Linked DNA regions of Mytilus edulis. The protein of the gene in region 4 purifies or fractionates together with the protein of the main gene of each other region. This does not show direct contact. Links are inferred from orthologs where the notes say so. Each region holds a gene or a part of one and is shown on either strand. Other genes may lie near its edges. The genes, in order: U2 small nuclear ribonucleoprotein A'-like, RNA-binding protein cabeza-like, calcium homeostasis endoplasmic reticulum protein-like and putative pre-mRNA-splicing factor ATP-dependent RNA helicase PRP1.

What was found.
Region 1: the proteins of putative pre-mRNA-splicing factor ATP-dependent RNA helicase PRP1 (region 4) and U2 small nuclear ribonucleoprotein A'-like fractionate together in Homo sapiens (co-fractionation; 3 studies listed by BioGRID and IntAct, with this or other methods). This does not show direct contact. The link is inferred for Mytilus edulis from reciprocal best matches to the Homo sapiens genes DHX15 and SNRPA1.
Region 2: the proteins of putative pre-mRNA-splicing factor ATP-dependent RNA helicase PRP1 (region 4) and RNA-binding protein cabeza-like purify together in Homo sapiens (affinity purification with mass spectrometry; 4 studies listed by BioGRID and IntAct, with this or other methods). This does not show direct contact. The link is inferred for Mytilus edulis from reciprocal best matches to the Homo sapiens genes DHX15 and FUS.
Region 3: the proteins of putative pre-mRNA-splicing factor ATP-dependent RNA helicase PRP1 (region 4) and calcium homeostasis endoplasmic reticulum protein-like purify together in Homo sapiens (co-immunoprecipitation; 3 studies listed by BioGRID and IntAct, with this or other methods). This does not show direct contact. The link is inferred for Mytilus edulis from reciprocal best matches to the Homo sapiens genes DHX15 and CHERP.

What each region holds. Positions count from the first base shown.
Region 1 is NC_092344.1:117,059,711-117,066,551, reverse strand, and holds the start of U2 small nuclear ribonucleoprotein A'-like, read left to right. Parts: upstream 1-3,820; 5' UTR 3,821-3,901; coding exon 3,902-3,983; intron 3,984-6,841. Other genes in the region: regulator of G-protein signaling 22-like, read right to left, coding at 860-890. UniProt on the Homo sapiens protein: Involved in pre-mRNA splicing as component of the spliceosome. Associated with sn-RNP U2, where it contributes to the binding of stem loop IV of U2 snRNA.
Region 2 is NC_092349.1:8,782,445-8,790,134, reverse strand, and holds the start of RNA-binding protein cabeza-like, read right to left. Parts: upstream 3,002-7,690; 5' UTR 2,925-3,001; coding exon 2,909-2,924; intron 1-2,908. UniProt on the Homo sapiens protein: DNA/RNA-binding protein that plays a role in various cellular processes such as transcription regulation, RNA splicing, RNA transport, DNA repair and damage response. Binds to ssRNA containing the consensus sequence 5'-AGGUAA-3'.
Region 3 is NC_092344.1:19,672,797-19,680,671, forward strand, and holds the start of calcium homeostasis endoplasmic reticulum protein-like, read right to left. Parts: upstream 3,025-7,875; 5' UTR 2,936-3,024; coding exon 2,908-2,935; intron 1,081-2,907; coding exon 928-1,080; intron 1-927. Other genes in the region: MAP kinase-interacting serine/threonine-protein kinase 1-like, read left to right, coding at 3,220-3,258, 4,695-4,890, 5,128-5,225, 5,423-5,681, 5,996-6,251, 6,485-6,784, 7,137-7,464. UniProt on the Homo sapiens protein: Involved in calcium homeostasis, growth and proliferation.
Region 4 is NC_092347.1:43,277,129-43,284,736, forward strand, and holds the start of putative pre-mRNA-splicing factor ATP-dependent RNA helicase PRP1, read left to right. Parts: upstream 1-4,591; 5' UTR 4,592-4,677; coding exon 4,678-4,730; intron 4,731-7,608. Other genes in the region: probable ATP-dependent RNA helicase DDX56, read right to left, coding at 198-288, 843-1,013, 1,716-1,789, 2,616-2,696, 3,396-3,557, 4,411-4,479.

The DNA.
Region 1 (6,841 bases), on a different chromosome or scaffold from region 4:
ATGACATCGCATTTGCTGTTCATATTTATATTCTTCAGCTATTTTCTTCATTGAATTCGTATAAACCCCATCCTTATACAATAATACCGCTTCCGTGAATTAAGCAACTCAAGTATTTGACAGTACAGAAAGTAAGCATACCAGGAAAGCTGTATTTGATTGATTGGTTTATTCATATTTCAAACAGCAATCTATTTGGTTGGCTTCCAATCATACAATAGTAAAAATAAACCATACGAAACAACCCAGTATATTCATCCCACCTTAGTCAGATATATCTGTTGATTAAAAATTGCAGGGGTGATTACAGACCGAATAAATCGTTTGCTTTATCGAAAAAGCTTAAGTTTTTTTATAATGTTTCATTTTACACTTTTGGTAGAAGATGTGGTATGATTGCTAATGAAACAATCGTCTCCACCAGAGACCAAGTAACGTTGAAAGTAACATATATATGCTACAGTCAACATACGGCCTTCAACAATGAACTAAATTCATTCTGCATAGTAAGCTTATTTCCAGTAAGAGTTATATATATTTTCCATTCAATCTCTAAACGTCCTCTTGATAGCAGTTTTCAACATACTTTTCAATATGTCCATGTTATTGTATCTTTTCCTTTAAAAATGTTTACGCGGATATGCATATTTCATATATACATTGCTCATTAATTTCAAAGTATTTTCATTTTTCTAAACATTCAACTGTAATGTTGACCTAATGATGAGATATGTCATCTTGATTTCAAAATTACATTTTTAGACAATATGAAAATGTTCAAAAAGATTTTGTTTTGGTTCATATTTCAAATACATTGTTGTATAAAAAAAAATGTCATAAAAAGGAAACATCTACCTACCCAATTTAGCATACACCACGACAGACGGCATAATGAGAATGTACTGTCTCCCTTTTTATCACATGAATATCTTTACATCCTTTAACAGTTAGCAATGACTTTTTAAGTTACTACTTCCATATGTAGGGTTAAACAAATACTCAATATCTTAAGATGTCACTTTGGTCGAGGAAGATATGACTTTACAAAATACCTGTAACGTATATCCAAGCAACTTCGATTTCATAGTATCTTATATCATTGAAAAATTGAATAAGGTGAATTTTGGCTTTTGATCGGAGTCGATACCTTTACACAGGTTAGCAGCATACCTGGGAACTACTATAGCAACAACCCATTGATCTCTTTACCAAATTATCTGATCATATGTTCGCAAATTTGAATAGTTTAATTGATACGGTTATCTAAACAAGACATTTAGTAATCTACAATATCACAAATATAGAATTATTAAGTGCAAATTAATTATCAAATAGTGAAAAGAACTTGAATACGAATACTATATGGATAACTTTGAATTTAAATTTTGATTTTTAATATTTCAATAATAAATTATATTTGAACCAAGAAATTATGAAGGGTCATAAGGAATACTGATCGATGATATTGATTCGTCAAGACAAAATTGCTTAGGTGTTAACGTGTTGACGTTTGATTTTTGTGATAACTGTAACCTTTAAATTTATTGTTTTAAATTCAACACTTATAATTGAATAGTTGAAGAACGAACACACTATATTTAGTTAATATAAATAAACGCTGGATAATTAGACTAGTCACAAATTTTGATTTGTAGATACTTTTGAGGGTATCTTTAGATTCCTTAGAATTATATCATTTTCACGTACGGTGCTGACGACTCGTATGGAACGCCGTAGCTGTCTTTATGTGTTAAATCTTATGCCATGATATATGCATTATGAGTGCCAATGAGACAACTCTCCATCCGAGTCACAATTTGTAAAAGTAAATCATTATAGGTCAACATACGGTCTTCAACACGGAGCCTTGGCTCACACCGAACAGCAAGCCAAAAGGCCCCAAAAATGACTAATGTGAAACCATTTAAACAGGAAAACCAACGGTCTAATCTATATAAAAAACGAGAAACGAGAAACACTTATGAACCACAGGCCAGTAGCCAGAAATTTCGAAGGGGGTCGATATATATGGCAAGCCGTTTTACTATTTCTTCGAATTTCAAGATATCTCCTATTATATATAAGATATCTCCTATTATATATAAGATATCTACTTTAATATATAAGATATCTAAAATAATTTAATTTTTATAGGATATCTCATATATTATATAAGATATCTTTAATGTTATATGAGATATCTTTAATGTTATATAAGATATCTTTAATGTCATATAAGATATCTCATAAAGTTTATATGATATCATATATACTTCATAAGATATCTTATATAGTTTATGAGATATCTCAAAAAGACAATTATATAAGATATCTGATAAACTATATAAGATATCTTATAAACTATATAAGATATCTTATAAACTATATAAGATATCTTATAAACTATATAAGATATCTTATAAACTATTTAAGATATCTTATAAACTATATAAGATATCTTATAAACTATACAAGATATCTTATAAACTTTAGGATATATCTTATAAACTTTAGGATATATCTTATAAACCTTAGGAGATATCTTATAAACTAAATAAGATATCTCCTATAATATATAAGATATCTTATATCATTTCATTTCTATGAGATATCTTATATATTATATGAAATATCTTAAATATTATATTACACTAAATAGGCCAAGTTAACATTAAATAACAAAAAAAATCATTACAAATTATCTCAACAGGTCAAAATAACACGAAAGTACGATTCGAGAGTATTCGCAGTTACGGAAAGCTAAAACAGTTACTGAACACCAAAACAAATTAATGATAAAAAAATCATGCACCAGGAAGTAAAATCAACTAAAACACATCCCAGAGATTTAGTAATTTAAGGTTTATGACCCCTTCTGTTGCCATGTGAACAACAAGCATCATTATTTATTGTCCATTGCATTTATTGAATAGAAAAATAGGATTTTGTGATAAATAAAACCAAGATTTTAATAATACAAAGATTTTTCGTATGAAATTTTAAGCATAGATCACTCACTTGTGTTTCTATGATTTACTAGCGTTTATTGTTTATAGAAAAGTCATAAATAAACCTGATTATTAAAAAAAAAAATTGTGCTGATTCACATGTTAAACTTGAGTCGAGCGCACCATATATAACATTCATATACATGTACTTGTTTTAAGGAAATCATTGCTAGCACTGCATGCAATAATCCTCTATCTATCAAGCACCGAATTGCCAAAATTAAGAGTACGAGGAGGGAAGGCTGTCACGGGATTTTCTTATAAATTCTCATATGTTTCGTTTAACATTGATACAACACAAGGGTACATAATCCTTAACGTCATTATGAGTGGCCGTTCATGTCATTTGCGTGATAATATACGCGTATATAATCGCGCAAATGACACGAACGGCCACTCATACGCCGTCACGGTCATGAACAGACTGATAATGAAAAATGTCTAATGTGAAATATAGATAGAGTAATCTCGATATAAAAAATGAACGTCAGTGGATGTGTATTTATGACATTTATACATCACAAAAAAACGTTTGAAAAGAATACTTTTTACTAGTTTATTTAATGAATTTGAGCCTCGGTTGTTAAAGTATGTTTAGATTTTGAAGCACTATGACATATTAAAATTTAACCTCTTATGGGGGATTTTCTTGAGTCACAAATCTGTGAATTTTACCACATTTGAAACAGAGACTTTTTATACTAATTTAAAGAAAGTTAGTATAGGAAGGCTCTGCTTGAATCTACGAAAAACTCAGTTCCAGTTTCCGGATACTATACATGGCTGATCGCATTAGTTTTTCAAATTAAACTACTTCCACAATCGCATGCGCACATGAACAGACGCATGGCGTACTAAATCTAAATAAAACTAAATAAAAAGACTAAAACACCATGGTTAAGTTAACAGCTGAATTGATTGAACAATCTGCACAATATACAAACCCAGTTCGAGATAGAGAACTTGATCTCAGAGGTAAACTGACTGTCTCGAATCGTAAAAGATCACAATGACAGAGTTTGTCAAAAACACAACAAAATAATATAATTTTTCATAACTTAAACTTGGCTAATCAGTATTTTGTTAAGGCAGTTTAGTTTTTGCGAATGTATCTTTTTGAAACGTAGATTCATGCAAAATTGGTCGGAGTAGATTCTTCTGGTTTTGATATATTTCTTGTGTAAACAATGATAGGAGTTTGAAATCCTATCAATAAGGGGGTAAAAATATACCAAAGTCGACTATCACAGTAGAGCTTCTCTCGAAAATATACTGTGATAGTCGACTTTGGTATATTTTTACCCCCTTATTGATAGGATTTCAAACTCCTGTGAAACAATATACATACTCCACACCAAAAATATCGTCTCATAACTAAATCGTCTCACTTTTTCATCAAATCGCCACACTTTTAAAAATTATCTCCCCACTTAAAATGGACACACACTGGCCTACAAACTCTCCCAACTTATATAAAAAGGATTAAATCCTGTTAAATATAATCCTGGAGAATATATATATGTTTAAATTTTTTGCGCCTGTCCCAAGTCAGGAGCCTCTGGCCTTTGTTAGTCTTGTATTATTTTAATTTTAGTTTCTTGTGTACAATTTGGAAATTAGTATGGCGTTCATTATCACTGAACTAGTATATATTTGTTTAGGGGCCAGTTGAAGGACGCCTCCGGGTGCATGAATTTCTCGCTACATTGAAGACCTGTTGGTGACCTTCTGCTGTTGTTTTTTTCTATGGTCGGGTTGTTGTCTCTTTGGCACATTCCCCATTTCCATTCTCAATTTTATTAAAGGTCAGCCAACTCACCCCACTGATGAAAACTTATCTATGGTATGCCATAGTACTGAATCTTACTGCTGAATCTTTCTTTGTCCTTTAGGACAACCTCTTGGTAGAGTACAATATTAATATAACCCTCCACTATCCAGAATTATCAATATCATACAAATATGTATAATTTATATACAAGTCCGCACTGGGTGATTTAGTTGTGTGGTCTTGTTTCTAGTCCTGATATTTCATTTAGTATTTTGTTTTGTGTTATCATGCCACTGCTTGTGTTATTGACTTATTGTGCAAAGTTTGCACTGCAAACCTATCATAACAAAATAAAATTATGTGAACATATGTGAACAATGATTATCCACTTATTCTGTAAAACAGTGATTATATTATAAACCAGGAAAAAACCCCATCATAAACAGTTACAATAGTCAATTACATCGTCCTTCACAGAAACACTAATTCATCTTTCTGCTTTCTTTCAACCAAAAGAAAAGAGTTTAAAAAAACTAAGATGCATTTCTAAGGTATTCATAACCATTTTATTAAATTTAACAGTTGGGCGTGTTGGCAAACCTATAATGCTATGAGAATGAGTTCTTTTTCATGAATGTAAGAACAGTCTTTACTAGCGTAGTAGACTGTCCTTATAAGTCGGACAAGATGGCATGAATAAATAAATCATGGTTTTTCTATTTTTAATAACTGGGTAGAACAGCAGACCTTTTTTTCAGCGTGATTTGTTAACCTTTCCTCCATTGAATTTTTTTGTTTGCATACCTGATTCGCATAAGGATTTCTCAATAAAATGCTAAAAATATGCTTTAAAGTATTAATGCATTGCGAAAAAACAAATAATTCATCAAATAAATTAAAGTCGGATATTCCTACGATATTCCTTTTCATATTGGATACAAATTTTATTAAGTCTACTGCAGACACTTTGTAGTCAAAGCGTTTCAACTGAGGTACTACACAGGCATCAAAAGGCGTCATTATGGAGTAAAGGGGGTGGCGTCAAAATGATGATTTATTTATCACTTTTTAATTTATCAACATAGTTTCTGACCAGTGGAAATGTTACATTAGAGGACAATGACCCAACATACATGTACTCTTCTCTTTTAAGTCTCACATCTTTTGCCTATCAGTTTCTTAGAATTCTATGAGAATGCATTCTTTTTCATGAATGTAAGAACAGTCTTTACTAGCGTAGTAGACTGTCTTTAATAAGTGGGACAACATGGCATGAATAAATAAATCATGGTTTTTCTATTTTTATGCCCCACCTACGATAGTAGAGGGGCATTATGTTTTCTAGGGGCATTATGTTTTCTGGTCTGTGCGTCTGTTCGTCTGTCTGTTCGTTTGTCCGTTCGTCTGTTCGTTCGTCCGTCTGTCCCGCTTCAGGTTAAAGTTTTTGGTCAAGGTAGTTTTTGATGAAGTTGAAGTCCAATCAACTTGAAACTTAGTACACATGTTCCTTATGATATGATCTTTCTAATTTTAAAGCCAAATTAAACTTTTGACCCCAATTTCACGGTCCACTGAACATAGAAAATGAAAGTGCATGTTTCAGGTTAAAGTTTTTGGTCAAGGTAGTTTTTGATGAAGTTGAAGTCCAATCAACTTGAAACTTAGTACACATGTTCCCTATGATATTATCTTTCTAATTTTAATGCCTAATTATATTTTTTATCCAATTTCATGGTCCATTGAACATGGAAAATGATAGTGCGAGTGGGGCATCCGTGTACTTTGGACACATTCTCGTTAATAACTGGGGTAGACCAGCAGACCTTTTATTCAGCGTGATTTGTTAAATGATGATTTATTTATCGCTTTTTAGTTTATCAACATAGTTTCTGATGAGTGGAAATGTTACATTAGAGGACAATGACCCAACATACACTTTCTCTTTTAAGTCAAACGACTTTTTCCTATCAGTTTCATAAAGAGAAGCAACTTTTCCTCATGATCATGATGATACTGAAGAGGTTACGATCATTTGTCAATAGTCTTTACTGTATTTTATCGA
Region 2 (7,690 bases), on a different chromosome or scaffold from region 4:
AACATGTATTTTTTATTAAATTATCTTTATTCACCTAAAATATCCAGTAATATTTACTGTTGAAGCTAAATCAATCCAACGAACATCGGCACCATGATAAGAGACGTAATTTCGATTGAATTTTCCAAGGACCCTTTACATCGTTATTGGGAAACGAAGTGTGTTAAAACGTTGGTCAAATCTGAAATCGATTTTGTCAAGTCATTGGGCATTTATTTTCACACAAGATCGTATGTAACATTATGCACATAGGAAAAATAATAGACCCCCAGCGCAATCTCTTTGAAAATTGTATTTTCCTTTTTTAAACAAGACGAAACAAGCCTACAGATTATGTTTGCTTACATCCCGTTGGAAACAAATACAATGTTTAGACCTAGTATTTCGTATATCCGGCTGTAAGGGCGTGATCACATGTTAGTCACATGTTTCACGTATGACCTGAAATGATTAGAACTTAACGACAAAAACAATTTTAATAAATAAATGGACTTCTGTTTCGTGTGAAATGTAACGCATAACGATAACGTCATTTTCTAACTTAATTATTACGAAGAACAAAACAAGAATGTAAATCATCTCTGATTTTTTAAATCATTTACCTGTTTGAACATCTCGCGAGAGTTCGTATTTGCATATTGTTGCAAAGAATTCTTTTACAACAAAGCAGATTAAACCATCTAAAATGTGCATTACGAAATGGGAAACCAAAATAACGACAGTGTTCTTACACCTGCTACAGAAATACTTATAGTTCTCGGCATTTTCTTCTCACTATTCTTATTGGTCGATGTTCTTTGTTATTTTAATGCAAAAATTACGAATTTGCCGGTGACGATTATCTATAAATTAGTCAGCGTTATGCACTTCGGACGTGAAAAGTAACGCGAGAAACGACACACAAATACGGTCGTATAATCTTTGAAATTTGTTAATTTCAATTTTTTTTCTAGGGAAGAGTAGCATACACTTGTATGTTGATAAAAATAATGGCATCTTTAGATGTAGTTACAACTTTTCTTACAGTAATTCACATTTTATCACTTTTCTATAGTTATAGGAAACGGAGCCCAATAGCAAATTATGGTCCATATATGATCCATCTACATGTAATACTCCCACTGACCCAGTGTAATCTGTGGGCAACCGATCAAAACAACGCAAGATTGTGAACCCCAAATTCAGCTTTTTTAATGCTGTGATTGTAACATTTCTTTTTGCGAAATGATGGTATACTCTCAGAGGAATATAATGGTCTGAATGCCTTATTTCTATATATAACTGAACTTGTTTATTCATTTCATGACTGAAAAAGCATTGTTTGGTTTGGTGTGAAAAAAATGTGTTACTAAACATTACAAAATTTCTTGATGTCACCAAGCCTATTCTCTGACATCCAAAGCTGGGGCCATGGTATGTCTGAGCTTGTCCAATTTCAAAAAGTTGATGTTACCCTGTTCAAAATACATGCACTGCTTCCTAGCTTCTGGAGCTGTCTGAGGGCATTGGATCCATATAAATCTGGTCTCAATTTGTTCATTATTGAATATTCATTTATCACTTAATTTATGCAAGTTTCGAATCGTCTATCTGCCACCCTTTATTTTCAAATTTGGACACTTATCACAGTGCCCCATCATTTTTGCTTGTTATTAATTTAAACAATTTTAAATTTAAACTGAGCCAATGACTGACTTTTGATAGTCAGATATGGACAATATTACCTTCAACTTAACTTAACCATAACTTATAAGCACGATTACTAGTTCTAGTTGGACTTTATTCATTATTATTTTATTTTATTCAACCCCTTCATCCATGCTGGTAATGAAATTCAACATCAGAAGTGCGATATTAAAGATATTGAAACACCTCACACCAACAAGGATTTTCTAGTTGAATAATTCCAGACTAATATTAAATGGACATCAAGTTACTAAGAGTTCGTGGCCTCAAGACTCAAAATATGCAAATATTTATATTTTTTAACCTCCTTTAAAGGAAATAGATGTTTAACATTTAGTAGCCAGCCATGATACTTCACCTCCTTTACAGGAGATCGGTATTAAGCATTTAGTTCCGACCATGTTACAGTCGGAAGCTCTCGGACATTTAGATAACTTGCATCGTAAATAAACGAGGTGTTACATTATGGTCATTTGCATAAATCATCACTGTTTTCATGTGGTCATGTGATAATCTTTGAAAATGAAAGGCAAAATGAGGAAATCAATGGGTCACTGTGAAAACTGTATAATTATGAGAAAATAAAGGTTGGCAGGTAGGTGAAACTTACATAAATGAAGACATAAATGAAAAATGAACAGATTGATGCCTGATTTATATAATTCCAAGGCCATCAGTCGGCACCAGACGTGACAAGCTGCGCATTTATTTTGGGTGGGCAAATATCCACTTTTTGATACGGGACAAGCTCTGACGTCCCATGGCCCCAGCAAAACAGCCGTTGGACGTCAGAGTAATCTCGGACTACTATAAGACTTAATGTCAGCTCGTTTTTTTTCCTTACATTTTTTTTTAATTTCAGAAAACTTTTCAATTGATTTTATAATACATTTAGACCGGCTTTCTAGTTTTACATCTCGATTGAGGTCCATCAATGCATCATCTTTTTCATAATGCAAGTTAATTAATTTGTAAGTGCTGCGTCTTAACATAACATTGTGTTTCAATTGGCTTCATTAACGCCCGGTGCGATGCCGGCATTTTTGTGCGAAATGTTGACTTGTTACGGCAATTTACCATGATTTGAGCTAAATACTGGTATCGCCCAATACAATTATATCTATCATCGTCTAACAACATAAATATGGGACACAGGGATGACTTTACAAAGCATTTCTTGAGCTAAAACAATAATTTAAGGGTAAAAAGAGTGTTTTCTTACGACTTGCATCCGCCATTGTCTGTTCGTTTTTGTGCAAGAGTCACGTGGTATAGACCGCGTGTGTTTAAGGAACCATGTGACCATACAATTTTTTTAAGAACTTTTAGATTTTGTGAGAAATATATAGATTTTACATATCAATTGGTAAATATTTAACTTGTGTTCTTCAGTACTTAAATTTCTATAATTTATTGCAACAATAATCAATTTATGCGACAACAGAAACTTATCAGTTCGACATTTATCTTTTCATTATCCTGTTGCAGACCTCAATTTCTTTTTGTGAGCATGCGCAACTAGTTTCTAATCAAATTATGAGCAACACACCATAGGAAGGAAAATCAGTTTTAAACAGGGGTGTCATAGGGGACATGTGGTGAAGCGTGTTAGTACGAATTCATGTGTTTATCCATTTTTCAGTTGATCTAAGAAGACTTTCTTAAAATAAATATCAAAAACAAGTAAACAATTGTCATTATTGACATCAAAAACAAAATTCTCTTTTTTAATTTCCGAATTAGCTACGTTTTAGCAAGAATTAAGACGGTAGCTGGGTCATTTTTACGTGTACGCCCGAAACTTGACGAGGGATATGAGGGGTGACAACCGCTCAATGTTAAAGCACCTGCTGGTAGTGGGTTCGAAAGGGACGAAGCCCCCGACAGCTATCGAGAATAAGATACCGTAATATATGCTTCCTGTCAGTAAAAAATCATTGATAGCAACATACTTTTGTATCTAAATGGTTTGTTTGTTTTTGTTAAATTTTGTAATATGTTAACCTATTCATCGTGTTAAACTGGAAGCAAACCTAATGGTTATTGGTTTCAGAGAAAACAAAAAATATTTCTAAGAGGTGCAATATAAAAAAAATCTGGAATACCTAGGATTTCTTCCCACAAAAAGTAAATCAATTTATCATTCATTTAAACATGTTAAAGGGATTTAAAAAATAAACTAAAATTTTCTTTTGATATTTTTTTCTTGATCTGGAATATTTCACGATAATCTATGAAGGTTTATAAATTGAGCATGTAAAACAATTAATTGCGTAACATTCGTAAAGAAGAGTCCGCCTATCTGTCTATCAAAAAAGAACAGAAAAATGATCGAAAACTTATAAAGTGCAGAAAGAAATACGTTTTGTCCTTAAATAAACTCATCATAGATACCAGGACTAAATTTTGTATATATGCCAGACGCGCGTTTCAATTAATTTTATTTTAAAAATTCAAGTGTAATCCCGGTCGTTTTGACGTAAACGTAGCTACGCGCATGTAAACGGGAAGAAAGTCACAGGAAATAAAAGTCAGAAATTTGATAGGACAAAAATTCAAAAATTCGCAATTTATTTGTTGACCATTGTTTGAATGTATAAGATAAAGATCTTGCAATGTTTTCTTTTCATTACATATATTCATTTTAAGTCTCAGAAATTGTTCATAAGTCTTGATAAATGAAAATTTATTAAATTTTAATCATTCAAAAGATATATTTCTTGTTCTTAATGGGGGCTCGCTGGTGTTAATCTTTTATTATTTAAATATAGGATTTCGCATATATTTTTTTTTCTATAAATGGACTTTTGCATACATACTTAATAGAATTATAAAAAGTTTTCATTATACAACTTATGTACATATTCTTTTTTCTGAGGAAAATTCTTTAATTTGTCCACATTTAGAAGAAGTTTACTTATTTTGAATTGCTTGCTTCCAGTAAGCAATTCGCCGACATATTTTCCGTATGCATAGTGACCTGAGCGTAAACCTCCTCGTAAAAATCCGGTGACCGCAATACGCATGGATCTGTCACTAAAATAAACAATTATCTGATTGTACATGTTATGCACGTGTTCAATATCCATGTTTTTTTTTGGTTGATTATCAACTTTAAGGTGACAATCGGTAAATAGTTATCGAAGGTACCAGGATTATAATTTAATACGCCAGACTCGCGTTTCGTCTACATAAAAGTCATCAGTGACGCTCAGATCAAAACAGTTAAAAAGCCAAACAAATACAAAGTTAGAAGAGCATTGAGGATCAAAAATTCCAAAAAGTTGTGTTAAATACGGCTAAGGTAATCTACTCCTGGGGGTAAGAAAATCCTTAGTTTTTTTGAAAAATTCAATTTTGTAAACGGGAAATTTATAAAAATGACCATATAATTGATATTCATGTCAACACTAAAGTGCTGACTACTGGGCTGGTGATACCCTAGGGGACGAAACGTCCACCAGCAGTGGAATCGACCCAGTGGTGTAAATAGTTATCAAAGGTACCAGGATTATATTTTAATACACCAGACGCGCGTTTCGTCTACATAAGACTCACCAGTGACGCTCAGATCAAAACCGTAACAGATAGAAAACTCAGGGTCAAAATTCATAGAACAGAAAAGGGGCAGTGGCAAATATTTCATGTATATTTTGAACACCGAGAGAATTACCCCGGCACCCTTTGCCAAAAAAAACCTTTCTTTTTTCTTATTTGTGCCTTCGGATTTTATGTTTTGAATTGTAGTTTCACTTTCCATATTCGGTATTTATTTAAATGTAAGCTCCACGTGGTAAAAATCACGTGATGCAGGAATATAGTATTTTGGAGTTTGGCTATTTCTTTCTTTTCGGGAAGGGACTCCAAGCAAACAACATGCATGTGTATAACGGCACTGTAGATTTTCGTATTAAATAAAGAAAGTTGCCGGTCCGGTACATGAATAGATTGGTTAGAAAGCAAGGTTTTAATTTTTAATTGGAAAGCTTAATTCGAGGGTTAAACATAGAGAGCACAAAAAAAGGGGGGGAGGTGTTCCACAGGGAATATTTTTTATCTTATGAACTGTACATTTGAAAGGTTTATTATTTTTTTTATTTAATTAAAAAAGAGAAAAACAAATATAAGACAAATTGTGAATGGTCTTTCTTCCTTTCTCCCTTGCCAAGAAATTGCCTCCGTTGAAATACTGCAAACACCCCATAGAGCAAATTACATGGATGATTAATTTTGACCATTTGGTATACGACCGTGTTCTAAGCGACACGTACATGAAGGTCATACATTAATTTCTTGAATGAAATCAAATCTTTAGCTACTAATGACTGCCGTAGGGGGTCGACCGAAATTTTTAGCGAGGATTTCTTGGCATGTTTAAAAAGCCAAACAAATACAAAGTTGGAAGAGCATTGAGGACCCAAATTCCCAAAAAGTTGTGCCAAATACGGCTAAGGTAACCTACTCCTGGGGATGAGAAAATTCTTAGTTTTTCGAAAAATTCTAAGTTTTGTAAACAGGAAATTTATAAAAAATGACCATATAATTGATATTCATGTCAACACCGAAGTGCTGACTGCTGGGCTGGTGATACCGGTAACTACGGCTTCAAAACACGACGATGGGGTTCGTGATCTTTATTTTTTAGTTTTGTATGTTGTGTCATGTGTACTATTGTTTGTCTGTTTGTCTTTTTCATTTTTAGCCATGGCGTTGTCAGTTTATTTTAGATTTCTGAGTTTGACTGTCCCTTTGGTATCTTCGTCCCTCTTTTAACGAGCTGCCATATTTTCTCATTATAACAGACAGAGCGAACAAAAAATGACGATTATACGATATAAATGCGTAAACAATGATAAAATCAAGCACAGTAGACTACGTTTATGATAATATAATAATAATAATAATTCTTTATTTAAAGAGGGTTACACAGTTAGCTGTAAAGCTAATCTTCCCTGAGGCCCTCATAAAATACAATGAAATATAACAAACAATTACAAAATATCAAACAGACACACATACATGAACAATGAATAAAAAATTGTTATGAAATATACAATTTTCAAAACAGGTAAAAGTTACAAATTCATATATGACATGTATAGTATTGGCATCAACAATATCATAAGTTTGAGTAAGTGTGTGAAAATTATTATGCATATAAAAAATGCACAGCTTCTTAATGTTCCATCAAGTAATTTTTTAAATCTTTTTTGAATGAGCTTGTACTTGAGGTTGATTTTTTCAGGGATATTGGTAAGTTATTCCATAAAACAGATCATGAATATATAAAAGATTTCTTATAAAGCTCTGTTTTGGCTTTTGGAACTTGTAAATTTTTGCAAGAGGCATTTCTCAAACGACATTGGTTTATTTCTGGCATTTCTTTAAACTTTTCAGTGAGATATACAGGGGCTTCATTCTTAAGGCATTTATGCATCAAAACAGATTTGTGGTATGAGATTCTGTTCTCTACTGTCATCCATCCAAGCTGTTTAAACAGTGGAGCGGATGATGAAAGTGGATCAGCATCTAAAATAAGTCTTGCAGCCCTTTTTTGCAATTTTATTATTCTGACTAGCTCATTTTTAGCACAACCACTCTAAATAATACAACAATAATCTATCAGTGGGAGAATATAACCATTATAAAATAATTTTCTTAGATCAATATTTAGAAATTTCTTGATTTTAGAGAGTAAAAAAATTCTTGATGAAATTGATGAACATAAGTAATTAATATGGCCTGTCCAGGACAGATTAGAGTCAATTCTAACACCTAAAAGTTTTTCAATTGATGATTTTTGAAGAATATTATTCTCAATAGTTAGAACTGGATCTGCTTGATTTAAACGCAGCCTTTGTCTTGTACCTATAACCATACATTTCGTCTTATCTGAATTTATGAACATGCTATTTTCATGACACCATTTTTCAACACATTGGAGATCATCTTGTACTTTTAATTGCATGTCACCAATAGTCTTTCCTGATGTATGTATAGTTGT
Region 3 (7,875 bases), on a different chromosome or scaffold from region 4:
GACTATCACATAAAAAAAATGATATTTTTATTGTATTCTATTTTCTTTTAAATATGAACACAACTTCTAAGAAAACTATTAATTTATATTAAAGTCAAATGCTATTTACTCTAAAAATGTTTTTAGTCTTATAATATCATTTGCATATTTTTTAATATTTCCCTTTTTACTAATTCTAGATGTTTTCATACTCCCTCTGAGATGACACCCTTAGAGTGAAATCAACAAGTAATTAAGAGAGGTGTCAATATCAATAGATTAATTAACAAATTATGTCTATCATGGTGTGAAAATTATTTCCAATTATATATCTCAAATAAACAAGGCTTTGTTTTTCATGTTATCAAAGGATTAACCCATATTTTTGTCTGACCTTTATCAATTCGATAATTCTCATGAGAGATCAAATAATTAAACTAATGCAATCTTCAAAAGATTTCTGATCTCTTCAAATAAATGCATAAAGAGGAAGTCCTAGGGGGAATTAAAATGGACTAAGAATATAACAAAAAGAGTTCTTTCACCTGTTATATAACTTTTCCTAAACCTGTGAAAAATAATAAAGTTCTTTGATCTATGCGATCTACAGTTTTAATTCTAACAGTTTTGGATTAACAAAACAAAACAAAAGATATTTATTAATAATTCTATGTTTAATTATACAAAAATACATTGACTTCATTATAAATTATGTATCTGGAATAAAATTCTAGAAAGACCTGTTCAATTTGTTGTTTTGGCATTTGACATCAAACTGTTCTATAAATAATGTTGAGTTTTTTTAAAATTTGCATTCAGTCAGTTTTCTTTGAGAAAATATATATTTTACTGATTGTTCTATGACAGATTTAACAAATTGATAAGTTCTTATTCAAGAGACTTTTTCTAATAACAACACAATTGCTCTTAACCTATGTATCAACTTACCTTTAAATTTATAATAGTTATAGTGTTCTCCACCAAAAAGAAAAGAGAATTTAGGATTGTCTTTTTGTTTCTGTTTTGTCATCTGTTCAAATTCGGGTCCATTTCGAGCAACAAAGCTTGCCAATTTGTCTATAATATTTTTTAATTCAAGTTCTGAAAGGAAAAAAATAGTCATTAAATAAAAATGTTAAAAACAATGGTATTGTTGAAAACATCTGGTAAAACTCCTCAACTTTAAAATCACAAAATGAAACGAAAGTTTTTCATCCTTTAGGAAACTGAGGATTATTAAAATTTCTTATGATTTATAGTTTCAATTAGAAGACATTTGAGACTTTGGTTAGAAGGTATTAAACATATTCCAATAATATTTGAAGATAAATGAGAATAGAAGCTGAATGAACTGTGACCAAACTAACAAAACTAAATTACACATTTCCAATAGATTAAAATAAAAAGGATGTGCAATGCCATTGTAATCTGAGAAAAATTCCATATACATTTTTACATGTACATGTATAAAGGGTTTAGGATCAGAGAAAAAAAATCCAAAACTGTACTGCAGTGTACTGATATAATAAAGTCCATGCCAAAACACAAGAAATTGAATTGCAATGAATATTTTACTGATATATAAATAACATTTATTAATTCATATAGACTGTAATTGATTAATTATTGAATTTTGCACTATAAATTTGTGTTTTCAGTGATTCAAAATATAGTTACAATTACAAGTGAGCACAAATAAACAAAATATTTTAAAACAAGAATGTGTCAATAGTACAAGGATGCCCCACTCACACTATCATTTTTTATGTTCAGTGGAATAAGAAATTGGGGTAAAAACTCTAATTTGGCATTAAAATTAGAAGGATCATATCATAGGGAACATTTGTACAAAGTTTCAAGTTGATTGAAGCAATTAATCCTTTATATTTGATATACATTTTGTAAGAAAGGAAAATAGGGAGACACACAAGTACATTATCTTTTGCGAAGGTTTAGGTGTCTCAATCTGACAAAAAGAAGAGTGTTTGCTTCAGTGTTCTATGTTTTAATTTATTGAAAGCTAAAGGATTCAAATTTTGTCAGTTAAGGATTATGGTCCCTTGTGTTGATTAAATGCTAAACATATGGAAATTTTATAGAAAATCCACAGCATTTATCCTTGTACCATCATATTTGGCAATGTCATGACTGAAAGATATAAGATTATTGCATGCAGTGACAGCATTGATTTCCTTAAAATGAGTTTATTAATGTAGCTATTGGTTAAAACAAATTAAAATATGGACCAAATCAAGTTCACCTTTTAGGGTACATTTGACTTTAGTGACTCGGACAGCACGAGGTATTTTGGAATTTGCAGGTTGATTAGAACTTTTTGTAAAAAATAAACACCAGCACATCATAGAAAAGCAAGTGCGTAATCTATGTTTCAAATTTTATAACAAAAATCTCTGTATTAAAGGCTGTGGATTTTCTATAAAAATCTTGGATTATTTGCCATAAAGTACTCTTTTTCTATTAAATGCAATGAAACAATAAATAATAATGCTTTGCATCAAGTTTCCCCTCTTTTATTCATTACATCTGTAGTTTTGATACAATTGAAGTTTGAAATATTCGTACAAAAATGGCTACAGAAGGGGTCATAAACCTTAATCATGTTATCTCCCCAAACATTGAAACAGTAAGCAAAATACTAAACTGACCATATCAATGATCACAACACATATACCTGACTAAGAAAAACCTCCATACTAACCATAAATGAACCCCAAAAAGGTCGAAAATTTAGACATGACAGCAACTTTAGACTAACAGTAACAAACCCTTGAGTAAGACAGTGTTTACCTTTTCAATATCATGATTTATTGAGAATTAAGATAAATACAATTGCACATATCAATATCTGTACAAACAAGCTATTTAACAAACAAAAATTTGCTTCTACAAAACTATACATAAACTTACCGTCAGGATGATTTGGTGGAATATCCATTTTTTTCTACACACAAAACGTGAGAAAAATAAATATTCAATGTTCAAAATTATCTCTCTTTAAATATGCTGAATTATGATTATTAAAACGTTTATAAGACTTAAATTTTACAACTTTTAAAAATCTTATTTTTATATATATATTTTTTGCGTAAGTTAACTTTTTCATTAACTTTTAAACAAAAAGTGATGCTTTCTAGAAATTAATTTCAAAAATTAATTTTCATTATTCTTCCGTAAATCTCCGACTGATTGTTTTGAGAAAATGGTGACAGCGGCGGGAGGATGCTTGAAAGTTCTAATACAAAAAGCGTCATGATAGAAGTAAGTTGCATTGAGATACTAAGAAGGTTTCTTTTAATCATGAATAAAAGATTGATTTTGATTGATATCAAATGCTGTTATTGTATTTAACACCAGAAATTTAGAAATTTGCATTGTTTGTAGGTCACGCCATAGTAAACATGGCCGACATTGTTGTGAGACGGATGTAAACAAAATTGCGTGGAACTGCGTACGTAGACTGGGGTCACATATCGTTGAGTCAACCAGTCAACGTTGAGCCACGTAGCTGTGCTAGTATAAATAGCTTGGCTGACGTAAACTTTTTCAGTCTTGAATGTTTATTGAGAGTGTGTTGAAATGAAAGGGTGATCAAAATTATTCAGGTCTAATGACCATTTACCGGTTTAGAAATATTGGATTTTACAAATTTTGTCGGAATATAATCAGGAAATAATCAGTTTTATTTAAAAAGGAATTTTATCAGCATTTAAAATGATCGATGTAAGTAGAATTATTTTTTGCAATCATTTGTTCTTCCACAATTAAAAACATTGAATATTTTTGCAAAATATTGTTGACTTGGTCTTATTTTCTGAAATTTTACAATTTAATACTCTGGTGTTGCCTCAGGGTGTTTGCAATTATTTTCATGCATAATTCCAGTTCTTCCAGTAGATATTTTTTTTTGTTATTTACATCTATTGTTTATATTAAAATTTATATTTGTCACAAACTATTAACAGTTTTATAGATATTGTCTATTATGTTGATTTCAAATTTACTTTTAATTTCACTGTAATCTTTACATGAAGGCCATGGATATTGATTATGTATGAAATGTAAATATTTTGAAGATGACCCACTTCTTTGTTGACACAATTACATGTTAAGCATAACTGAGTTTTCTAAACAGTAAATGTTTATCAGAAAGCAAAACATTATCATGAATATAGATGATAATTAAATATTTAACTCTTAAAATTTGTCAGAGGTCTGGAATATTCTTAGGTATTTACTGATATTTTGGCGGATTGCCCAAATGGAAAATCCTAAACCATAGAATGACTTAATCAACTAGCATTCTGATTGGCTGGTTTAACAAAGCAGTTCTAATTTTAGATTCCTTAGCTCAACTACTTAAAATATACTTTACCAGTAAATTTGGCTTTTATAAATAAACTTTTATGATGCAACTGTTACTATTGCAATGATTTGGTGAAATCCATTTCATTTTGAAAAACCAATAGAGTAGGAATGGATTTGTGAATGTCTTGTCAGTATGGTGAAAGGGTTTACAACAGAGGAGTATGATTTTCAATGCTCAGTTGAAGAAGGTATTTTTGAAGTGTTTATTTCTGAACATGTAAATTGAACCTATTATCTGATTTTCATATTATATTGATGATTGGGATTTAGTTTGGTAGAACTTAAAGATATGAATGAAATTTTATTGTGAATGTATCATTTTATTTCAGATCGACCAAAAGTCAAAGTATTGCTCACAATCACCACCACGACCAGAAAGTTTAATGTTCGAAAGTATAATGACAAACTTGGATATGGAATTGGCAGACTCGGAAAACAACAACGGCCCATGCTCTATGAATATCAGAACAAGAAATAAAAAGAAAAAAAGGAGGGCTGCTGACAACTCTGTTAAAAAATTTGAAGGTAACTTTTTTATTTGTTTTCTTGCAGTTGAAGTGAGAAGGTTCATGGTATTTTTGGGAAAACACAACTTGAAAAGTTTAATAATATTTGTGGGTTAATTCAATGTGAAACACTAATGAAGATGTCATGACCTTTTAATAAGTTTTTATTATTGAACAATGTAATGATATTGTTCATTACTGTTTGTATATGTATTTATGGTATGAATCAATCATTTAATATTCTTCTTTTTAACAGATCTGTATACAGCAACTGGAGAAATTCTTGGAAATGGAGCATGTGCTGCTGTTAAAACCTACAAAAAAAACACAACGAACAAAGAATATGCTGTTAAGGTAATTTCAAAATATATATTTTTATTATCAATGAAACAAATAACACATTTTTGTGATGACCAGTGATAAGTAGAAACTATGAATTTTGTATAAATACAGTTGAATATTACAAAAATTAAAAATATGAATATAAATAAACAATACCTACATGTATCAAGAAAGTTAAAAATGTTATATGAAATCATTTTATTTTGCAGGTTATTGAAAAAGATTTTACCAGATCAAGAAATAAGGTTTTTAAAGAGATAGAGATTTTCAGTATTTGTCAAGGCCAGGATAATATTTTACAACTATTTGAATACTTTGAAGAAGAGGACAGATTTTATTTGGTATTTGAAAAGATGAAAGGCGGAACATTACTTGCCAATATTGAAAGAAGAGGCCACCTATGTGAGAGAGAGGCTGCACTTGTAGTCAAACAGATAGCCATAGCTTTGAACTTTCTTCACCAAAAAGGTAAATATATATATAAAAAAAATAATTATACTTCAGTGTGGAAGTGTCCTAGTTTTCCAGCATTTATCTTAAATTAATGTCTCTTAATAGATTGACATTTATTTGAAGAAAAAAAATGTTATTTTAGTTACTTTGTTGTAAAGATACCTATTGGCATAAAAAGCAAAGAAGAAAAAAAACCATACATTATACATTTTGCAGTAGGAGCATCAAATTTCATGATTGTTTTTAGCATATTCTGTATATAATGATAATCTACAAAGGAACATTTTTCCAAGCACAAATTAATATGATCTTATTTATTATTTTTTAAGGCATTGCACACAGAGATCTCAAACCAGATAATATTTTATGCGAGAGAACTGATGAAGTAGTCCCAATACGTATCTGTGACTTTGATTTGGCTAGTGGGGTACCAGGTAGCCAGACAGAAGACAATTGTACAACACCAGAACTTCTTACACCTGTAGGTTCTGTCGAGTACATGGCACCAGAAGTTGTTGATGCTTGGGTTGGAGAATCATTCTCATATGATAAGAAATGTGACCTGTGGAGCTTAGGAATTATATTGTAAGTTCTTTACTATTTTGGTTTTAAAAAAAAGAAAAAAATAGCAAAATTTTCAGGTGTTAATTTATCCAGATGAATCTTTTCAATGTGTTCCTTCGTAATTTTCTTGTTGAATAGCATAGACTCAAAACTTTCATTTACATAATTTAGAAAGATGATATTGATTAGTGCTTAAATATTGCTAAATAGTGAAATTCAAAATGAGTAACCTAGAAATGAATTTTGTGTTTCAGGTATATTATGTTATGTGGTTATCCTCCATTCTATGGACAATGTGGTGGTGACTGTGGCTGGGAAAGAGGTGAAGCCTGTCAGTCATGTCAAGAGACCTTGTTCACTAGAATTCAGGATGGCATGTTTGAATTCCCTGACAATGAATGGGGAGATGTATCCAACGATGTCAAAGATCTCATTCAGAAATTACTAGTCCGTGAACCCAGGAAGAGGCTGACAGCTTTGGAGGTTCTACAACATCCATGGATCACATGTCCTGCAGCACCTACCCCATTGGCTACTCCTGGTATTCTTACAAGGTATGCTTTATTTTACTACAAGTCGTGTACATTTCCATATTAAGAACTGTATGTTGGTGGGATGTAATAAAACGTAATTTCCTGTATACATCAGATAAAGTATGTGACCACTTGATGCTTTTCCTGTTTACATTGTTAACAATGTAATGTCTTGTTTTTTACACTATAACTGTTACATTAAATTGAGACGGAAATATGACTGTTGAAGCAAATAAATTTACACTAGTGTTTGATAAGCTTGAAATAAGCATCATTTCTTTAAAGTCTTACTTTGCATGACATTTAATTTTGTTTAAGATGAAAACATGAAAGCTTTTATCTGTTATACATTGGACTCTTATTTATATTGCAGAAACAACAGTACAAAAGATCTGGAATGTTTTGCTGGAGAAGCAGTCTCAATCAACAGAATGATGCAGCAACATCTTTTGATTTCGGAGCCTCCCAATTTCTTTATTGGTGGGAGGGACGATTTTGACTGTGATGCATATGAAAGTGGTGATGATGATGACAAGTTTAATATACCAAGTTTCAAACTGTCTCCACCAAGTTCAGGACTGGCTAAAAGACGTACAATGGCCAGGAAACCAAACAATTTAAGTGAAATTACTGAGGACAGTAGCGACAGTGGTTGTTCATTGCCAAGCTCTCATTCATCTAGTTGTGGCATAAGTATCTGAGACAAAGACCAAACTCATTTGATATCAGTTATTGTTCTGGTTGTGTTATTTTTTGAGTGCTTAACTTGACAGATTTTATACATGTATTGAATGTGTGTGCTATTTTGTATTTTGTCCATTGTAAGAATGTGTTGTGTATAAAAGTGTCGAGTATGGATGTAGGATTTGGTACATTATATATCATGTAAATACCACCTACAAAAAAAATAAAAACAACACGATCTTGTAGTGGAAATCCATTTTTATAAAGAAAGAAATTTTATTTTTCCACAATGATAAGTATGTCATGTTAATCTAAAATAAAGGGAGATAAATCCTATCAATACTTATTTCTATGTATGTTTGTGTATAGAAGATCAATAATATTTTGTTGAAAGGTTTAGTTTCAGGGATACTCATAACGTTATGTTA
Region 4 (7,608 bases):
CTTTTTTGACTAAAAAGTACAGCAATTCTACATATGAAAACAAATTTTGCTTACAATTTGAGAATTTTTTTTTTTACTAAAGAGTACAATTTAATCGAAAGCAATGATATTCCAATGCCTTAGAAAACAAAGAGTTAGAAGCAAGAAGCAAGTTGACATAAAAAATATAAATTACATATCTACATTATACAACTTACTGCATTATGAAGAACTAATTTCTTCAAACTTAATACATCATCACTGAGCGTAGCTGACATAAGGAAAGCTTGATATATCTTTGGCAGTTGTCTGAAATACAAATACAATTTCTTTATTTAAAATCGTGACTATATTACTAAGACTTCTACAATGGTATAAGTTTCCTCTAAAATGATGTTCTATTCAGTCAAAAACATAAACAACATTATTATTCCCATGTTGTTATGCTATTTCGATCACAGTTTATTGAAAATATTTGTCTTATAATATTTGAAGTTGCCATAACAGACCTTTATTATTCTCTGATATAGTGATACTTGTGATGAAATACATCAGAGTTTGATTTTGCAGTTTTTACATCTCTTTTTTCTATATCATTAAAGATCATTAAACAAAATGTACAAGAAAGCTTAAAATTACTGCTCAACAGAATGTTATATCATTCAAAGACGATGAAGAAAATAGAGGAAACCTTACGTAACTTGTTGTTTATAACTATGAGAGAGAGGGGCAAACATCAGTTTGTCTTAACAAATAAAATCTGAAACAAATATTTGGTGTAAGCTATAACTCATGCAAGGGCCTAACATATTAAAGTCCTCAAAGAGCATATGAGGGTTTGAGACAAATAACTAAAAATTTACTTTATGATAGCTTTAACATCATCCTCATAGCCAAAAGAGAAAACCAGATCGGCTTCATCTATCACAAGCATCTCCAAGGTGTCTTTGATACTGAGATTACCAGCCTGTATGTGTGCCAGGATACGTGTAGGTGTACCAACAACTATATCGGGTTTCTCCATCAATTTGGGTCTGTCAAAATATAGATAAATCTTACATTATTCTAAATGCATATAAGTTTATATGTTGTGCAATATTACTTAACAGAGTGGGCAAAACAACAGATAAAATAGTTCAATGTTGCCATTATGTATGCTAATACATGTAATCTTTTGGCAGCATTTGGTGTTTCTACCAACCATGACTCTTTCTAGTAAGGGAACTGCTTAACCTTGCAGAGTCCTAGAGTACTCTCTGTTCTATTTTGTAGGGTTTGTGTAGTGTAATCTTAGTTTCCTGTGCAGCATTTTGTAGACTAATGTTTGACTTTACATCTTTTTACTTTTGGATGTGGTGTTGTTTGTCTTTTTCAATTTATGATTTTTGATTGCCATCTTCGTATCTTCTTATTTTTACAAGAGAGAAAGAAGTAACTTATTCAACACCTTGTACATTGTAGATGTTCTAACCATGATAAAACATTTTTATTTGTCAGCCAGGCATGGTGTTCAATGAACATATACAACTTGTTTTCATTAATGTGTACCTTTCCTTTACATATATGTTGCTGTTTGATAGATATATGAACATGTGGTATGAGTGCCAATGAGACAACTCTCCATCCAAGTAACAATTTATAATAGTAAACTATTATAGGTTAAAGTACACTTAGTTTCTGTCTTTCTGATGGTTTTTTTTGTTACTCAATAAGATCACTATCATTTGTGATGTTACCTTTGTGTAAGCAGTGGAACTTTTGGCGAAACATCAACACATTTTATTTCTCTGGAACAACATGATGTCAATTCCTGAAACAGAGAGTAGAAATCAAATACATGTACTAATGAAATATTTCTATATCCAAATACTATAAATTCATATGTACCAACTTTAAATAAAACTAATATGAATGCAAAATTGACATAATAAAATTAAGAAAGGAAATGGGGAATGTGTCAAAGAGAAAACAACCCAACCATAGAGTAGACAACAGCCGAAGGCCACCAATTGGTCATCAATACAGCGAGAAACTCCTGCTCCAGAGGAGTCCTTAAGCTGGCCCCTAAACAAATATGTATACTAGTTCATAATACATGTTTTCATAAATACATGACCTCAATACTATATTCTTATGCATAACATGCAACTTATTTTCTGATTATTAGCGAGAAAGCTCTGTAATGTTGGTGTATCAAGAATGTCCAAGAAACCAAAACTGTAGAAATGTAATTTAATACATGTACCTCTCTCTTTTTCTAAAGACTTTTGTTACATGATTAATTTTGTCCCACCATCTACCTTATGTTAATTTTTTGTGCTATCTATGAGTAGGTTTAAAGAGAGATCATCAAGATACATGTACATGTACACTAATGTCACATGTGCATATACACTAATGTTACATTTAACTAATGTGACATTTACATTTATCTCTATAAATACAATGTATAGTATACATTGTATTTATAGAGATAAATGTAAATGTCACATTAGTTAAATTGTACACTAACCATAAGATTTTTATATATGTACATGTACACTAATTTTACATGTAACTGTATAAAACAATATATACTAACCATAAGTATGTACACTAATGTTACAAGTAACTCTTTAAATACAATATATACGTACCATAAGATTTTTATATGCTTGGTGACATAGTTCCTTAGAAGGGGTCAGGAAAAGAGCTTTTGTACACTGTTCTTTACTGGTCTAGAGAGAAATTGAGAAAATGTACTTTCTGCAAAACTATTTGTAGTACATACAGTATTCATATCTGTAAAAAAATACTTGCAACACAATGCATTTTGGAAATTTGTTTGATGTCCTTATGAAACTTCAGATATGGTTATATATAGTTTAATTTATCAATGACGAAAACATGATGATTAATTGACCTTTACTGAAAATAATTAATATTTCTAAATACATTACATACAGTATTTTATCTATTTCTCAGTTCAAGAGAATGCAAAATGATTATGTTCCATACTACATATTCAGAGTAAAACAATTTTCCATTTCAAAGAAAAATGGAAAATATTCAGTGTACTAGTATGCATTGTTTTACTCACACTAACATCAGAGTATATCTTATTTCATCACATTGTATATCAAAAATATTTAACTCGAGTCAGTTGTTATGCTTTATTTGCTTTGTATTTGAACATGTGACATGTTAGATTAAACATAGATTTCAAAGTACTGTGGATTCATTTACTTTTGTGGGTACCAATTTTCGTGGATTGCCGAAAAACTTGCCTTTTCGTAAATATGTGATTTCGTGGTTTTGCCAAAGTCTGTATACCACCAAATAAAAAGCTTGTTGAAAATTTTAATTTGTGGTTAACCTGTACCCACGAAAACTGGTATCAAACAAATAATAATAATCCCTAGTAGTATTATTATTACCTGTTTAGACTGTAATATTTTTTGAACCACAGGAATGGAGAATGCTGCTGTTTTACCAGATCCAGTCCTAGCCCTTGCCAAAATGTCTTTTCCTTCTAAAGCCAGAGGGATTGCTTTTTCCTGAATTGGTGTTGGTGTTGCCCAGCCTAAATTTGCAATTGCCTGTAAGCGTAAAATATAAATTAATTCAATACTAACCTATTGGTAAACAATGGGATATCCCTCCAAACTCTATCTGCTGTTACACAGTGCACTCTTCATAAAAGATTTCATACAACAAATCCATAATAAGCACAGGAATTGAAGACACTTATAATTTTGTGCCAAACCAAGATCAAACAGTACATAATTTCAAAATAGAAAGAGGAAAAATTATCTATAAATAAGGATACATTGTACTAATGTTTTTCACAAACATACCAGCTCCAGTAATAATCATGATTATAAACTAATAAATTGGTCTTTATATAAGCTTAATTTTGGTATGGGTTCAAACTAAAAATAAACATTGTGATAAATGACAAAAATTATTTTCTTGGATAAATGAAAATCATCAACATTGCAAACATCACAGAGATGCATTGTCAAGCTTCGAGTCTGTAGCTAGTCAAGTGATGTTAAAATAATCTGTTGTATCTCAATGAACATGTAGCACACAGCATAGATAGAAAACACCAAGAACCTGTCAGTTGCACTACAAAAATGCATAATTTTCAAACAGATCACAGTATTTTAAGCAAAATATTAAAATAAAGACAGAGATGTCCAGTCATATAGAATGACCAAAATAAGAGCGATTTATTTGATGTGAAGTGTTCTATAAGGTTTGTGAATATGGGAATGCAATGGTCACCATTTTGTATTACCCCATATACATTCTGTACCCTTCTGTGAATGTGATTATAACAAATTTGAAGTGACATATTATAAGTTTGATAAAATTTTTAATTAATCATAGAGGTGCGATCTAATATTTCATATCACATATAACCTTATTGCTTATTATCATGTGCACCTTTAAAATTCTGTCATCCAACCCCATCTCATGGAAATTCAAGGTTTTGTCCTCATCTGGTTCTGACATCGTCTTGCTTGTTTTGATTTTACCGGAAGTACAAAAAACATGTGCTTCCTTTACCTTAAGTCTGACAGAACTTTTATTTATTCAAGCGTGACTATAAAGTCATTCTTATCTCTCTTGGGTTTTCGTTGAGTTTTGTTGTAAAATCAAATGTCCGAATGACGTCATTTGCCATACTGCAATATACAGGGTAACAACAAAATGTCGAAAAGACACAGAATCGACGTTGGCGACTCTTTGCCAAAACGCACAAGGTATGACAGCTGTAAAGTCATGGCAGCCTTTGCCTCATTCAATTTATTAAGACACACATTTGTCTTGTTTCATTTCTCTAACTGTAGAATACCTATAACACTATTAATTGAACATTTCCACAGTAGCGCACAACGCATGCCGAATCGGACATAATTTATCCCCCCTTTTCTTCATAAATCTTTTCAGTACTTGTCAGAGGGAGGGACTGTCCCTGAAGTCTTTTAGGATCTCCTGTAGTTGGTGATCTCAATACTGGTATACTAGTATTGTGCACAATACTGGTATAAAAACTTTGTACCAGTATTGTTTTCCAGTATTGTACCAGTGTTGTGTTTTTTTAAATAAACAAATACATATAGGTGATTAATCTTTAATTAAAGGTGTCACATATATAAATGCATAATGAAATTAACATATGAAATGACAATTTTATATGAAATGATTGTAAAAATCAAATCAAATATTTTATTATAGTCTCACCTCTCTACATGTATCCTCGTGTATTGTATTTTCGACCTTCTAACATTTTTCTGAATTCCCTGTTATATGTTTGACCATAGACATACCTAATATTTTGAGAGTCGCTAGTATACTTGTGCATAAAATAATTGTATCGGAAATATATTTCGATCTTTAATTAATTTCATTTGAGTTCATTAGATCGATGGCACCTTTGTTGACAAAAACAAGGGTCTTGTGTTTTTGACCTATCTATAAAAAAACGAGTCTAAAGTCAGAAACGACATCTCGTACATATCCGGAATTGGTTATAAATTTGATACCAAAGTTTATATCAAAGTGTTAGAGGCGATCTAACTTATGACTTAAAGAATTAAATGGTTAAATATACAACTACATGTACAAAATGTATAAGATATAAAATATTATTTTGATGTCTTTTTTGGACAAGTTGTACACATTTTAGAATGAGGCACTTTGGAAGCCTTGTATGGTCTTGTATACATTCTTGTTTTTTTTAAATACTTTGGTTTATCCATTGTGAAGTGAGGTTGGTGAGTATTGTCTGTAATTTCCATTTCCACTGACACTGTTTTTTCTGTAAATAAAATTGAACTGATATTTTATTTTTTGGTAAAAAGCTGTAAGGAGCATGCGTATTTCTGTATTCAAATTAACTTTAAGTATAAAAACTAACCACCTGACAGTCATGTGACTTAATGACCTTGAAGTTAACTTTGCATGCAAAAAGACCTCTAAAAAAACGTAAATACTTAATATAATAACTTTATTTGAAAAATCTTCACCCCACATGGTATCATTTGCTATTGTTACTAAGTATAGCAGCCGAATATGACCTCATGCAGGCATGCGCAGCATACGAAAAGTGAAAGTAGAATTAGGTCGAAAACGTCAGACGGTCGAAAACACAATACGAGATGATACATTACAAACATGAATACAATATATACAACATGTTTTAATTAAAAGTACAAAACAATCTTAAAAACATTCGAGAGCCACTCTCAAAAGAGTTATGAGAGACTTTTACATAAAAAAAGGACAGCTCGATAAAAATACAAAACATTTTTTATCTATATAAAACATTCTTCCTTTGAATTAAAATATCATGGCAGATTTTGGCAGAATAAAAGCACAAATTTTCATTTGTAAATAAAAATATAAATTTTTCATCATCATTTAAGTCTAAAAAATCAATATTAAAAGAAACTGCTCTAGTAAAAAACCTCTTGTCTTGCCTGTGAATATAAAGGGCATTTGGGTAAAACATGTTTCTCATCTTCAATGAGTTTCTGTTGCATACATGAATCATTAAAACAAAATCTATTTTCACTTAAAACCCCTTCATATCTGCCTGTTTCAATTCTAATCGGCGCCACACCACATCGAAATTTAGCAAAGGCACTTTTATATTTTCCTGGCACATGAAAACTTAAATAATGTTCTTTATAATATTCTTGTTTAAATAATCTATCAACTTTTGTTGCAGAAAGCTCGACATAGGGATAGTGATCCGGCGGCGACGTTAGCTAACTTCTTAAAAGCTTTACATTTTAGAAGGTGAAAGACTTGGATGCTTCATACTTTGTATATAGATGCCTCATGTTACGAAGTTTCCGTCAGTCACATGTCCAATGTCCTTGACCTCATTTTCATGGTTCAGTGACCACTTGAAAAAAAAGTTCAGAATTTTTGTAATGTTGAATTCTCTCTTATTATAAGTAATAGGATAACTATATTTGGTATGTGCGTACCTTGCAAGGTCCTCATGCCCGTCAGACAGTATTCACTTGACCTCGACCTCATTTCATGGATCAGTGAACAAGGTTAAGTTAGGGTGGTCAAGTCCATATCTCAGATACTATAAGCAATAGGGTTAGTATATTTGGTGTATGGAAGGACTGGTATGTGTACATGTCCAACTGGCAGATGTCATTTGACCTTGACCTCATTTTCATGGTTCAGTGGTCAAAGTTAAGTTTTTAAGTTTTGGTCTTTTTATCTAATATTATATGCCAAAGGTCAACTATATTTGGTGTATGGAAATATATTATGATCTATATGTCAGTCCCGCAGGTTTTATTTGACCATGACTTCAATTGCACAGTTCATTGCACAGTGTTAAGTTTTTGTGTTTTGGTCTATTTTTCTTAAACTATAAGTAGTCTTTGACAACTTTCCAAGTCCTGTTGAGAAAAAAAATGAACATGTTGAAGATTTTATATTGATTTCAATAATTCTTAATCAGTTATACACAATTACCTCTTTTTGTGTTTTCTGTCTTATCAAAATATATATTGCAAAGTTTATAATGACCCCTAAAATACGCATTAGTTAAGCTAAAAAACAGTTTTGATCTAATGTTTTTTTTCTGGATTCAAAATAAATTATAACAGC